Linked DNA regions of Canis lupus familiaris. The protein of the gene in region 3 interacts with the protein of the main gene of each other region in a biochemical or structural test. Links are inferred from orthologs where the notes say so. Each region holds a gene or a part of one and is shown on either strand. Other genes may lie near its edges.

What was found.
Region 1: of the proteins of CRK (region 3) and ABL2, one has a biochemical effect on the other in vitro, tested with the Homo sapiens proteins (2 studies listed by BioGRID and IntAct, with this or other methods). The link is inferred for Canis lupus familiaris from reciprocal best matches to the Homo sapiens genes CRK and ABL2.
Region 2: the proteins of CRK (region 3) and ARHGAP32 form a complex in vitro, tested with the Homo sapiens proteins (2 studies listed by BioGRID and IntAct, with this or other methods). The link is inferred for Canis lupus familiaris from reciprocal best matches to the Homo sapiens genes CRK and ARHGAP32.

What each region holds. Positions count from the first base shown.
Region 1 is NC_049228.1:20,504,601-20,509,712, forward strand, and holds the start of ABL2 (tyrosine-protein kinase ABL2), read left to right. Parts: upstream 1-1,816; 5' UTR 1,817-2,036; coding exon 2,037-2,193; intron 2,194-5,112. UniProt on the Homo sapiens protein: Non-receptor tyrosine-protein kinase that plays an ABL1-overlapping role in key processes linked to cell growth and survival such as cytoskeleton remodeling in response to extracellular stimuli, cell motility and adhesion and receptor endocytosis.
Region 2 is NC_049226.1:5,524,630-5,529,639, forward strand, and holds the start of ARHGAP32 (rho GTPase-activating protein 32), read left to right. Parts: upstream 1-1,714; 5' UTR 1,715-1,791; coding exon 1,792-1,907; intron 1,908-5,010. UniProt on the Homo sapiens protein: GTPase-activating protein (GAP) promoting GTP hydrolysis on RHOA, CDC42 and RAC1 small GTPases. May be involved in the differentiation of neuronal cells during the formation of neurite extensions.
Region 3 is NC_049230.1:45,570,569-45,575,408, forward strand, and holds the start of CRK (adapter molecule crk), read right to left. Parts: upstream 3,070-4,840; 5' UTR 2,963-3,069; coding exon 2,722-2,962; intron 1-2,721. UniProt on the Homo sapiens protein: Involved in cell branching and adhesion mediated by BCAR1-CRK-RAPGEF1 signaling and activation of RAP1.

The sequences.
Region 1 (5,112 bases), on a different chromosome or scaffold from region 3:
GTGCTTTCTGTTAACCAGTTTACTTTTAACAACAGCTCTATAAGGTGGGTATTATTGTCATCATCATCACCTCATGGATAAGGTGAAGTATTTACCTAATAAGTATCAGAGCCCAGTTTTGAGCTCAGTCTGGCTTCAGAATCCCTGCCCTTAGCCACTGTACTATACTCATCTATTATGTACCATGCATGAATTAGCAGAGAAGCCAGACTGCTATGCTTAAATTAGTATTCTCTCAGATAATAAAAACCAAACAATACACCAAGTTCTACCTCTATGATAACCTTTATCCCTTGTAATTGATTTTTTTCCCCAGTAGTTGCAAATGCTTCAGGAATTAAAAGGAAAAAAATATTTTAAACACAGGAAAGCTTTGATCCAAATGGAAAATTCATATTCTATCTAGTGCTAAAGCACAGTGTTTCTGTTACCATTTGGGGGAGGGGCAATTTCAGTTATTTGGGGTTACCCTGGATCACAATGGAATAATTCCATAGTGCTCTGATAGTATCAATGTCAATGGATGGTCCATCTAAGGTCATCCTGGTTCTTTCTTTCTTTTTTTTTTTTAAGGTCATCCTGGTTCTATGAAAGGTGTGTAAAGGAGAGCCGCATCCGCCTTTCCCCCCTAAACCTACCTTCCTAGTGAATGTTTTGTTGCTTCTTTGAAATGTCTCCTATCCTGTCTGCTTTAACTTTAAGCATATTTTCTGTGTGGAACCTGTAATAACAGATACTTTGTATTAAGTAAATAAGGAAGTGAAAGGAAGAGTAAGAAGATAGTTACCAAGTTCCTTGAGAATTTAAAAAACTGGATCAATATTAAGATGCAAGCGTGTGCAGTGGGACAATGATTTGTGAATATTTGTACATACACATGTGTTTGCATGTATCCAAACACTGCTGCTTGAGTCACTCTCTTGGGACAAAATAAATTAATGATGAGTAAGTTCAGGGTCAAAGAGAAATTTTCTTTTTCTCCTTTGTCATCAAAGGAAGACCAGACCACGGGCACGGTATATAAAGCACACCAGTGGCACCATCAGCTTTACTGTCGAGCACTGTAAGGGTAACAACACGTGGTTAGACGGTAAAGGAGTTCAAAAGGAATTCATGGTAATACGAGGAATGGGGCCGTAAGTGTCTCTCCAATGAGGCTGCAGAGTGCAGACAACGGAGGCGAGGACAATTTAACATCATGAAAGGGTCTCAAAAAATTGCAATGAAATAACGTACCTTTTTTGTACGACCCTCATGTACATTTTGTATAATCTTAGACTAGGCCTGCTGAGAACGGTGTTGAAAAGGATCCTCCCGGGCGTTTCAGGGATGCTCACCTGGATGGCAAGCAGCAAACGCCTTGCGCTTTCCTGTCCCAACTGTGCCTGCTGTGCACCTGGGGCGCTCCGCGCGCGCCTGATGGACTTGACAGGTGGAGGTGGGACCGGGAAGGCTTTCGACCGTGCACCTCCGAAAGGCGGCAGCACGGAGAGCCGGACGTGGGAGGGGTCGGCGGAGACGAATCCAGACCCCGCAGGCCCGGGGGGCGCGAAGGGCGGGAGGACCCGAAAGACCCGAAGGCGTGGAGGAGGCCGCGCGGACGAGGTGGGCGCGAGGGGGACCCCCCGGCGAGGAGGCGGGGCCGGGGGCGGGGCCGGGGGCGGGGCCTCCGGGAATTCCTCCCTCGGAGAAGCGGAGGTGACTGGCCGGGAGGGGGGGCGGGGCGGGGCGGGAGACGCTCTGTCCCACGCTCTCCCAGCGCTCGGTGGTTTAAAGATGGCGGCGGCGGCGGCGGCGGCGTTGGGGGCGCGGAGCCGCGGGAGGAGGAGGCGGGGGGAGAGTCTGTGAGTCGCCCAGAGGCAGCGCGGCGGCTGCTGCGAGGAGTCCGCGTGCGGAGCCGCCGGCGGCCCGAGCGCTCGGGGCCGGGGCCTGGACTGGGAAGGAGAGGCCGGAGCAGCGCCGGGAGCCCGAGGCCGGAGCCGAGGAGGAATGTGACCTGGGGTCGGCGGGGGGCGCGGGAGTACGCGAGCGCAGGGATGGGGCAGCAGGTGGGCCGCGTCGGGGAGGCTCCGGGGCTTCAGCAGCCGCAGCCCCGCGGCATCCGGGTCGGCAGTGTGGCCAGGCCCTCCGGCCGCAGGCGGGACCTGGCGGGGCGCACCGCGGAGGCCGGCTTCAATATCTTCACCCAGCACGGTGAGTGTGTGTGGGAGCGGCGTGAGGGCGCGGGGAGGCCGGGGGTGGGGTTGGGGCGGGGTGGGGAGGAGACAGGCGGCCCTGGGGGGTCGGGGGGTGGCGGGGTGCCTGAGAGTGGGGGCGGAATCCGCTGCCATCTGGGCCAGTCACGGGAGTCGAGTCACACCCCTCCCCCCGCCCGCCTCCAGCCTGGCTGGCAGCTCCCGGGGGCGGAGAAGGAAAGAGCAGTGGGCTCAGGGACGGTGGAGGGACTGTCCTCTCCCCTGGGACAGACTGTGTGGCTCGGGGAGGCCGGAGGATAGTATCGCCAGGGGAGGCAAGGATGCTGGGAGGTGTGAGCTCAGTCCAGTAGGTGTTCGTGTAACCCGGTCGTCTGCGAAGGGAATGGGGTTGTGCCTCCAGGGATTTGGAAATAGGAACCGCATCTCAGGAGCTACTGGCGTATAAAGTATACACACATATAAAGTCAGACTATGAGCAGTGTCAGAAGAGAGAGCAGTGACCAGAAATACTCTAATATGGCAAAGATAAAGGTAGTATCTCAGCGCTTTTGAGATTCCACCCCCCTTCCCCCCCCCCCCCCCCCCCCCCCCAAACTGGAAATGAAAGGCTTTGCCAGGCTGTCCTATGTTCTGAGCTCTTGGGTAGGACTCAATTCTGAGAAGCTGGCAGGGGTTAGAGGTTGGTGGGCATGGTTAGGACTTTGGATATGAACAAGAGTTTTCTTCCTGCAGTCTGTGCATGTGTACATAAATCCTCTGCAGTCTGGAACCTATTACTTTGGTCTTATTATCGAGGTATTTTTAGAATGATTGTCTCCGAACTCTTTTGATCATACCCTTTTATCAGTAAAAGAGCACGTACTCCAAGAATTCGTTATCTGTTAATTATATATGTACTTGTTCTGCTGTACCAGTACGTTATGTAACTTATGAATGCACACAAATAGAATTTAAGAAAGGGTAAGATGAAAAAAATAAGTAATGAGAGTTCTAATTTATTTTTTTTTCCCTGCAGCCCAGTGGATCCTTTTGCACTATCTGAGCTGCACCCACACCACTTTTGAGACCACTTTTCTAGAGGAAGGAAGAGTGGAGAAGGGGGAAAAAGAAAATTGACCTTCATGGGGTTGGAATACCATGAGACTTCAGGCTGAAGGGGTAGATGTGACTTAATATATAAAAGAGGACTGGGTAGTTGAGGTTGGATGAGTGGTAGCAAACTGGAGTTTTCACTAAGTAATAAAGGATAAAAGAGACATGGTTCTATAATACACAATGTACAGAAGAAGAGGAAGAAAAAGAAGTGTGAATTATTTGTTAGAAATGGAGTTTTGGAGGAAGTGATGATAGATGGTAGTGTGCAAAGAAAGAGATGAACCCAAGGAACTGTGGCTTTTGGCTGAGTTGTATCCGAGAGCTCTGGGTTTGGACTTTGTGAATATGCTGAGTTGTTTCTAAATGGAGAAGATAAGTGATTTGGGGCCTTTCAGGTGTTACATGTGTACTATTAAAGATGTGAGTGAGCTTCTCTTCCAGATATATGAACATTTTATGAAGGTGCTATATGTGAGTTAGTCTTTATTAAAATCACTTTTTAAAGCACTGGAGGAAAGAATGGATAATAAGTTTTCAAGGAAGATCATCCAAGTTAGCCTAGTTTTGTGGGAAGTGCTAGTGTACATCAAACTTGGCCCAGTAGGCGACAGTGATTCTCTTCCTCCAGGATCTTACTGAAGACAGACTTTTCAGAGAAGGAGGAATATCATGAAGAATGGAATAAGAAGAGATTTTGAAGGGTGGATAGGTTTCGAATCTCTTGAAAAAGGAAAAGAAGGCAGGCTGGGCAGGAGAAACAACTTGAGCATGAACAATGGGAATTAACATGATTTGCTGATGGGATAGTGAGGAGACATCTGTTGGGAGTGAAGCAAGTCCTCCAGGAGTGAATCCTAGAGGAAAAATTGCAAGAATCAAGTTCTGGTCCTAGCTCTACTTGGCTGCGAGATTTAGTTACTTGCCATCTTTGGGTTTATCTGCAAAATACTGGACTGGTTGATCCCAAAGGTACTTTCTGACTCTTAAGATTTTATTATTCTAATTGAAGCAGTGCCAAGAAAGCTTTAGATATGTTTAACTGGGCATGGGTGATGGAAAATGTGGCAGAGGATTTTATATCAGTTTACCTGATTGGCTAATTCATAGAATATATTAACAAACCCAAGTATGAAATGCTGAAAGACTGGCTTTAAATGGAGGCAAAGGAAATAGGACAGGAAAGTTCGAGAGATATTTCATTCATCCAATAAACAGAAGTTTTTTGAGTACCTATTATGTAACTGAGCTTTGGGAATATTGCTTTAAACATAAGAGACCCTGTCCTTGTAGAACTTAAAGGACTTCGTGATTCAGTATAGAAGATGAAAGAATAGAGATTGTTTTGGAATATTAAGGGCCATTGTGTGTGGGTTTGAAAACTGGCTTAACTGTTTATTTTTGTGACCCTAGGCAAGTTATTTAACCTTTTTATGCCTTGTATTCTCCATTGGTAAAATGGGGATAAGAGCACCTAATAATAATAGTACCTAGATTAAATTTTTTTTAAGATTTATTTTTATTTATTTATGATAGAGAGGGAGAGAGAGAGAGAGAGAGAGAGAGGGGCAGAGACACAGGCAGAGGGAGAAACAGGCTCCATGCCGGGAGCCCGACGCGGGACTCGATCCTGAGACTCCAGGATTGCGCCCTGGGCCAAAGGCAGGCGTGAAACCGCTGAGCCACCCAGGGATCCCCAGTACCTAGATTAAATTAGTCAATATACGGAAGGTACTTTTAGTGCCTGACACATAGTAAGAGCTAATATGTGTTAGCTGCTGTTATTACTACCACTATTATTATAAAAATAGAGGTGTGTCAAAGA
Region 2 (5,010 bases), on a different chromosome or scaffold from region 3:
TTTCAGGTTTGAAAGGGCTTGAGAAAGTGAGGCAAATCAATGACAGTAATGAAGGAGCAAAAGAAAGAATTAAAAGGAAAGGTGAATTGGACTCATGAAACACATTAAAGGAGTTAGATTTGTTTAGAAGAAAAAAGCAGACCTAAATACTGTTATTTTAACATTTAAAAATCTGATTCTTTGCTGAGGGATATAAAAGACTGTTAAAGTTAGTTATTATTCTTGCAAGGGTGATATGCGCACGATACAGTGAAAACCTGTCTCCCTCTCGTTCCGTGTTTTCCCCCTGGAGACAGCAGCTCTCACTGGTACTGTCCTGTGTATCTTCTGTGCATGTAGTCCTGTGTGTTTCTCCTTCCTCTTCTTTGAAAATGTGTTTGGGAACATGTCATCTATACTGTTGTCCACATTTGCCTCTTTTTTCTTTGCCTTGATACTGTGCCTTAGTCTTGACCAGTAGGGCTGCCTTGAGTTTCTCTACCCAAATGTATTGCATTCCGTTCTGTGGAGATTCCGTAATTTGATTATCCAGTTTTCCATTAATGAGCAAGTTAGGTGGTTTTTGCTATTCTGTTGTTATAAAGTTTACTGCTGTGAATATTTGTTTCTTTGTTATTTCCACCTGTGAAAATAAAGTAATTTCCCAGGGCAGCCCGGGTGGCTCAGCCGCCTTTGGCCCAGGGCGTGATCCTGGAGACCCAGGATCGAGTCCCACGTCGGGCTCCCTGCACGGAGCCTGCTCCTCCCTCTGCCTGTGTCTCTGCCTCTCTGTCTCTCCGTGTCTCTGATGAATAAAAATAAATAAATAAATAAATAAATAAATAAATAAATAAATAAATAAATAAGAAACAGTAATTTCCTAGAAAGGGAATTGCTGGGCCAAAAGATGAGTATCTGACGTATCAGTGGTTGGTACCAACGTGGTTATTTTCTGAGTAACAGTTGTGTTATTGTCAGTGTTACAGATGCTGTAGTCTTCACTCCTTTCCCAGCAAGTCATTTTATTGCTGCCATGGGCGTCTGCAGTTTAAATGGTGTGTTAAAAATGTTGCATGCTTTTATTTGGTGTAATTGTCAATGTCTTTTAACTTCTGGTATTTATTTATTTATTTTTCTTTAAAAGGCCATGGACAAGCCTGGCTGTTATGTCCCATTTTAGATGCCTGAGCAAGGTGTATCTGGCAGTTATTACTGCGGGGAAGGAAAGATGGGTGTAATATGAGAAGGCATGAAGTTGGGCAGGTCCCTGCTGCATGCTTGTCATGTCTCTGAGTTGCGATCCTCCTTAACTGTGAGGTCTGTAACTGTGCCTCTCTTTGTGGTTGGCCCAGGAGACTTCTACATCATAGTGTTATCTTTCTGGTTTTCGGTTTACCTTTCATAATTCATTTTGAAATAGCAAAATAAGAAAAGCTTGTACTTTGAAACTGTTTTTAACTTGTTAACTGGAAACCCGCGTGGAGAAAAATAGTTATTAGATCAATAATTAGTGAAAACTCACCTTCATTTGGGTTCTGCGTTGGATTATGTAGGTCACAGAGCCTGAGGCGGTGGGAGGGGCCTCGGTGTCACAGGTGTGGAGCCGTCGGATGCAGTGAGTGTGCTCTATGTGATTTCCTGTCTTTACCCCAACTGTAATTAGAATAGTACGTAATAGACTGTGGCCCGGCGTGATCACATATCACTGTGCATCAGCCACACACCTGGGTGTACATAAACAGAGCCGAACAACTTGAACATTGGTGGTGTTCTTTATTTCATGCCTTGAGGATTAAATTTTTTGAATACAAGATGGAGACTGAAAGTGAGAGTAGCACTTCGGGAGATGATAGTGTCTTTTGGTTGGATTCTGAAGTTATAACCGAGATGACTGGCAGTGAAGAGGGAGAGAGGGAAGATGACTTCAGGTAATTATGGAATTCACCCTTCTCTCTCTCTCACTTTTGTTCCTCTGTCCACTCTCTCCACCCCTGCACCCGTTTCTGATCCTTCCAGTTTTAATCTCTTCTCTGGTGAGACTATCTTTTTTTTTCTCTGGGGAACGTTTTGGAGCTGAAAAGAACAGGTTTCTAGTTGCACGTAGCGCTCTTCATTCCACAACATGCCCTGAGCTTATAAAATGCATTTTAAATGACTTGTTAGAACACCAGGAAGAGAAGGTGTTAGACAGGTTTTGTAGTAGCATTTCAGGAATTTCAAGTAGAGACTCATAATGAATGAAGTACCACTCCTTCCTGTATCTGATTTGTACCCAATAGATTTGATCTGAATTTGAATATAATAGGTTTTTCTTCCTCTTTTTTAGAATGTTTATATGTATCTGTGCCCAGGTGCATGGATACTTCTGTTGCTTTGTTCATGTGTATGAAACATTTTGACCATAAGTACAAATTAATTATTTCATGGCTTTGATCCCTACTCTTGTCCCTGACCTTATGTCTTACTCCCCTTCCCCTCTTGGGAATCTTTCTTGGTTTTGAATTTCTAGTTGTAACTTCATAACTTCTTTTAGGGAATGCCTCCTAATTAAGCAGATCTTGAAGTTTGGTGGCATGGGTGAAGAAACAGGTCTTTGTGAGTGCCATTGGTTTATTCTGTTTTAAACTTTAGAAGGCTTTTTTTTTTTTTTTCCAAACAGGTTAGCAAATTCATTCTTTTGGAGTTATTAAATCATGAAGAAGTTTGTTCTCTATATTATCACTGCCACCCACGTGAGCAATTAAACATCTTTTATAATTTTACCTGTGAGTGCTTGGGTAGGTGAACATACCATTATTTATATCAGATCTTGTCTTTATGTTTAATGTTCGAAAGAGTCTCTCTCAAGTTAAAGAATTTCTTTATCCACAGATCTGATTTTTAATATCTAGGATAGGGGAGCCTGGGTGGCTCAGTCTGTTGACTGTCCAGTTCTTGGTTTCAGATCAGCTTATGATCTCGGGGTTCTGAGACTGAGCCCCATGTTGGGTTGTGTGCACAGGGCAGAGTCAGCTTGAGATTCTCTCAGCCTCCCTCTGCCCCTCCTCCTGCTGCCTCACACACTCTCTCTCATAAATAAAATCTTAAAAAAACTAAAGGATAAATGGCAGAAAGGATTAAATATAAGGAAGTCTTGATAGCTCACATTAAATTTCCCACTCAGTGTTTAAAATGAATAAGTGTGTTTTAAATTTTGTAAAAAAGTTTAATGTTCAAAGTATGAAAATGGACTATTAGCATATGAAGTTCTTTTTTTGTATCAACTTTGTCATTCTTCCCATGATTTTATATGGCCTTTCCTATGTGAGTAAGCTACTTCTCTACCAAAATATGCTTTTTTATGTTCCATAAATTCTTTATAATATGGTCAGTGTCTCATGGACAGTTAGAAAAAAATAAAGCATGTATTTTGTTGGTATTAAAACTGTTTAACTTGGTATTAAAATTATAAAAGTTATTTTGGGGTATTAGTCAAAGGAAGAAATAATCCAGACTTTGTTGTTGTAATAGATTTGGTACTGTCATCCTTGATTTACTTGTTAGGCAACAGGAGCCTGTCTGGGTTTTTCTTCTGACTGTTAAATTTGAAAGCAAATCTTTCTTTTTTCTTCAAGACTATGTGATAGCATTTTCATCCTGAGAAACTGAACTCTAGGTTTGCATTGTTGCAAACACTAGAGTGGCAAATGCCATGACACACCACAGGGCATTGATCCTTTTTATAGTATTTCATATCTGAATATCATCATTGCTCTCCCACACCAAATATGCCTTTGAGATTTGATCTTTCTTTGTCAGTGCAACAAAGAGATCTGGGTAAGGCCATATTTCATGTAGTGTTTCTCCCCTATTCAGCGGTAAGACATGAGGAAATGTGGCAGCAGAGTGCTTTTATGACATTCGAAGCGGCGTTCCAGCTAAAATGCCTAACAGAAAAATGTGTGTGTGGGTGTCGAAGGTGAAGGGTTGTGGTAGGACAGTTGCAGCTGTAACCTTGGGAGAACTAAATAGTAGACTCAGTGTTTCACATGAGAAGTGTTTTAATAAAAGCAATTTAGTAATTAAGAAAATATACGGAAAACTCTTCATGTGTTTCTTTAAAATCTGTGCTAATACACATTAAACTGTGTTATTGTTTACATTCTAGTTAATTTTCATTTGCACACAATAGCATTGTGTCATTTGTGACACCGTGACTGAGAAAATCATACCCTACCTACGATGTAGGTTTGTGGTGCTTCTAGCTATCATCTGCCTCAGGAAGAAGTACTCACAGAGGGGCATTCATATTTGTCCATTAGCTTTTGGAATAACATTTATTTTTATTGGCTGGAGGAAAGGATACTTTTTCTTACATTCTAGCACTGTGGGAAGTTGCCCAATCTCCTTCATCGCAGTAGTTCAAACTTGTCTACCACTGACTCACAAATCTCTCATTTTCTGAGTTCTCATTTGTAGAGTAAAGCTATTACCTACCCATTATCACTGTTAAAATAGTTCTTCGACTAGAACATTTAGAGATTGCCATAATCCTTAGAGTAGAAGAGTCCTTAAGAATCATTAGAAGAGCCCTTCCGTCAGGAGGAATATGGTACAGAAGAGGAAAAGGAGAGGTGCTTTAAATATTTTAAGAAAGAAAAATTTAATTTTGGAGTTGTTATATGCAGCGTATTAAGCCAAATATGTTATGTGCAGTTTGTCACTTATCTGTCAATCCTATAAAGTTGGTAGTATTTTTCCTATTTTCCAGATGAGGAAATTGTCACTCAGAAAGGCACACATAGACCACGTTGTAAGTATATGGTAAAGCAAAATTTTGAACCGAGATGTAAATGAATTTGAAAGTGAAAGACTAGTGAAATATGTAACTGTTAAATCTTAGTTCTGAAATTCCTTTCTTAGGAAGGGATTTTGAGTAATGGTGATATATATACAACAAACATAAAAGTGAACTAGCACATACAATAATGTGATCTTTTAGATACCTAACAGTTATTACTAACTCGCAATCATGAAAGGTATTGGTTCTTT
Region 3 (4,840 bases):
TTGTCCAAATACTAAAGCTAGTTTCTTCTGGTCATCCTTTCCTTTTGGTCTTTAAACAGAACATAGGACCCTGTGACAGAAACAAATCTTCTATGAGCACTGTTCAGATCTCAAAAGGAAAGAGAAAGAAGTACAGAATAGTGTCAGCTCTCTAGTCAGAATTCCGAAGTTGAAAATCTGGCTCAGTCATTTATCAGCTGTGTGACCTTGGGCAAGTTCCTGAATCTCTCTGTTTCCTCACCTATAAAATGAAAATATTTTAGTAAATAGAGATTACAGTATTTCTCACCAGATTGTTATAGACAGAAAATGAGACAAGGCACAGAAAGTACTCAGCAAAGTACTTGGCACAGAATAACCAGTCAATAAATGTTAGCTATTAATACTCTACACGCTTTTCTAAAATTAAAGAAATTCCTCTGTATAGTTTCAAAAAGAAAAGAGCTTGACGGGGAAGCAAGGAGAACAAAGACTAAGTAACCTTTATAAAGACAGCAACTCAATCAATTGCTCTATGTGAAAAACTGGGCACATTACCAGAAACAAGAATTAACACAATGCCTGTGAACTTTCCACACCCCATCCACAAACTCTGGCAATCTTCACCTTCTCTCTTGAGCCAAGGATTTGAACTCCTATCTGTTATGAAAAGGTGGAGCTCAATATCAAGGTAAGCGCAGAGATATAAAGTCATAACACAAAGGTGTGTAGAAAGCTCAAACCAGCAAACCTGCCTGTTGTCATCTCCAAATTTTGCAAAACGCATACATAAAAGGTTGAAAACTGGGGGTGCAGGAGGTTGAAAATTGAATTTCAGTGACAGTTTGACATATTACTGCACTGTAATGCACAACCCTAGATACCAAGAAGGTGGTGAAAAAGCACAACATAGGGATCCCTGGGTGGCGCAGCGGTTTGGCGCCTGCCTTTGGCCCAGGGCGCGATCCTGGAGACCCGGGATCGAATCCCACATCGGGCTCCCGGTGCATGGAGCCTGCTTCTCCCTCTGCCTATGTCTCTGCCTCTCTCTCTCTCTCTCTCTGTGACTATCATAAATAAATAAAAATTAAAAAAAAAAAAAAAAAAAAAGGAAAAGCACAACATATCGGGTTTAGGGCAAATTTATGTTCTATCAATATTCCTGTCTCATGTTATGCTATTAAACCAAACAGACTGGGACGTGCCTGGGTGGCTTAGCGGTTGAGTGACTGCCTTCACCTCAGGGCATGATCCTGGGTCTGGGGATTGAGTCCTGCATCGGGCTCCCAGCGAGAAGTCTGCTTCTCCCTCTGCCTGTGTCTTTCATAGATAGATAGATAGATAGATAGACAGATGATAGATAGATAAATAAAATCTTAAAATAAAAATTAAACCAAGCAGACTGAGAAGACCTAGGATACTTCCTGGATTTAAAGATCTCATACTCTTCCTATAATTGATACGTGTTAGCAACAGAGACTGACTATCCCATCTCCCTATTTCTGGCCAGAGTGAATGAATCTAAATTAGGACTATCCCTAAAGGGCAAGTTTGCAAAGGCTGGCTCAGGAGGCTCCTAATTCTTATGAGACTGGCCTGGAGCTAGCCTCAGCTGGTCAGAAGAAAACTGCTTCAATTTGAAAAATGAGAAAGACTACAACTCTTGGTGCTGTTACACAGATGATGGTAATCTGACAATAACCTCAGAATTACTCTGTATTTCACAAATCTCAAGTACTAAGTGCATGAACCTCCTTAACATTCTCCAAACAGCTCTAAAGGCGTAAGTAGGACAGTCACATCTCAGTGATCCTTGGTTAAGAAAGAAAAGGGCCACAGCCCCAACTTACTGAGCAAGAGGCCCTGACATATGACATTGACAATGCTTAAGTCCAATGAAATTGGAAGTTCCATTCACTTCCAAGGAAGGGACTGTTTCCACTGGCTTATTTCCTGGGAGGGGTGTGGGGGCATAGAATCTGTCCTCCACAAAATACCCTGAAAACTAGAACCCTCTAATTGTGGAAAAGAGTCTCTGGACGCCAAGATCTCTTGGACACGGTCAGCTGGACATCAACTTGTTCTGGGCTGATCACAGAGGGCTTACTTCTGTCACCAAGGCACTTAGCTCACCACCTTCGTCCTCCGCGGGGGAAGAGGACAGTAAAAGTATTTTGGAAAGATGCCCAAGAAAGGAAAAAGCTGACCGGTTTCCTGAGGGTGTCTCCATCCCTCCGGGCTAGTATGTGGTGACTTCCTATCAAAGGCCAGCAGGGGAGAATAGCTCTCCAAACCAAACCCGGCTCTCTAACAGTACAGGAAATGTTTCAAGCCTAAAAAGCCACTTGTAGGATTATCGAATTCATCCTGGGAACCGCTGCCAAGTGATGCCCCCGCAGTGCCAATATCCCCCTCCGCTCTTTGTCCCCACGTTGCCCGCCCTGCCCTAGTGCCTGGCCCCGGCGCTAGCCCCACCCTGGGGCCGAAGCAGTTCCCCTTCCCCTGGGCTGTCCTCCCAAGTCACACCCAGAGGCCTGGGTCAGCGGCTCCTCCTCCACACACACACAACCGCCAGTGGTGGGAACGAGCCCGGGCACCAAGGTACCCCCATGCCAGGGTCGCTCCAGCCCTCTGCCCACGTCCCTCGTGGAGGCTAGCTCGCGAGGGGCAGCCGGTCAGGCTGGCGAGTTCCGCGGCCCTCACCCCGCCCGGGGCCTCCCGTCCCGTCCCGTCCGTCCTCACCGGGCGGAGGCTGGGCGGGCGACGGTGGCACAGACGGGCGCGGGCCGCTGCTGTTGATGATGTAGTGGGAGACGCGCGAGTTCTCCGAGACGCTGAGCACATAGTCCCCGGGGCTGGTGCTCGAGTCCCGCACCAGAAACACCCCGTGCCGCTGGCCCTGCAACAGCGCCACCGCCTCCTGCCGGCTCAACCGCCCCCAGTACCAGCTACTCCGCTCCTCCGAGTCGAAGTTGCCCGCCATGGCCGCCTCCGCGCCTACACGCTGGGCCGCCGCCGGCACGCGCGCCCCTCCTGCCCCGGCGCCCGCCGCCCAGCGGACCGGCTCGGGTCTCAGCTTCACAGCAGTGCCCGAAATGGCGGCGGCGGCCGCGGGCCTTCCCCACCGGAAATGACGCGCACCTTGCCCCCGCGAGGATGCCGGGAAGGGGACCGCAACCCGCCATGGGGAGAAGGGCAAAGGACAGCTCGGGTGCGCACTGCGCATGCGCCGCCGTGTGCGTCGCCGCCTGGCGGGGATCGGGACTGCAGGGGATGGAGGGGCCAAGTCCAGGGCCGGTGGTAGGGGCTCAGCGAGGAGTCGGCGGAGGTTTGTGTTTGCGGTTTTGGCCACGCGGCTCCAGGGTTCGAGTTCCTGGAAGGCCCGGGAATTCTAGGCAGCAACTCCGAGACACAGTTGGACTACAAAAGATGTATGTGGCCTCAGGGCCTGAGCTCCTGGAGACTTTGGTCCTTTTCTGGTGGTTCCTCCATCTTCTCTCTAGACTGGCTTAAGTATTTTGTTTGCACTGATTGACTCAGCAGTTACTGACACCACATTTGCTCTGTGGGTGCAAAGGTGATCAAGGTTTGGGCCCTGACCTCACAGAATTCACAGACCAGTGGGAGGAAGCAGGAACAATGACAAAGGAATTCCAAGCACTGTGAGAGGGAACCAACCAGGAGCTCCAGCCCAGTCTGTAAAGGGATTCAGTCCTCCACCTACCAGAGGAGGTGGCTTGAGCTGAATGTTGAATGGCCAGTAGGGGAAGAGCATGCAAGACAGAGAGAGCAGAATGTGCCAAGCCAGGAGTTCTCTGGATTGAGTCTTTCAAGTCATTTGCCCAGATTCTTCTAAACACTAGTCGTGGCCAGGGGTATCCTCTATTCTCCTTACTATCATGATCTCTGTCTCTGTATTCCATATCTGTATCTGTATTCCTGTGAACAGCCTGTTCACTGGTGCCCTATAGACTTGCTGCTCTAAGTACATTGCACACATCTGACAGTGTGTGCTTTCTAAATTACAACTCTAAGACTGTTCCTACCCTGTGCACAACTTTTAACAGTCTCCAGAACTGGGACGCCTGAGTGGCTCAGTGGTTGAGCATCTGCCTCTGGCTCAGGGGGTGATTCTGGGATGTGGGATCGCATCCCACATCAGGCTCCTTGCAGGGAGCCTCCTTCTCCCTCTGCCTACATCTCTGCCTCTCTCTGTGTCTCTCATGAATAAATAAATAAATAAAATCTTAAAAAAACAAACAAACAACAGTCTCCAGAACTTAAAATTCCCAGTTTAGGTCACAGCATAAAATGAGGTCACAGTGTCCTCTTAACAGCTCCTACATGAACCTTGTGTTTCTTTTTTCTGGAATACCCTTTCACTCCTTTCTGGATCTGAATCTCAAATGTCTTCTCTTTTTTTTCTTTTTTTTTTAAGATTTATTTATTTATTTATTCATGAGAGACACACAGACAGAGGCAGAGACACAGGCAGAGGGAGAAGCAGGCTCCATGCAGGGAGCCTGATGTGGGACTCGATCCCGGGACTCCAGGATCACGCCCTGGGCTCAAGGCAGGTGCTAAACCTCTGAACCACCCAGGGATCCCCCTGTCTTCCCTTTTTTAACCAACTATTACTTCCTCTCTGCATCCATAGCCCTGTGTCCATATTATTTCCATTACAGTTCCTACCCATTGTACTGTAATCCTTCATTCACAGGTCTGTCTGTGTCCTACACTAGAACTCCTCAAAGGCCACACATCTAGTGTAGGAGGCACTACATAAATGTTACAACAGCTACCATTTATTCAGGGAATACTGCCTGCCAGGCATAGCGCTAACTGCCTTTAGTATGGATCA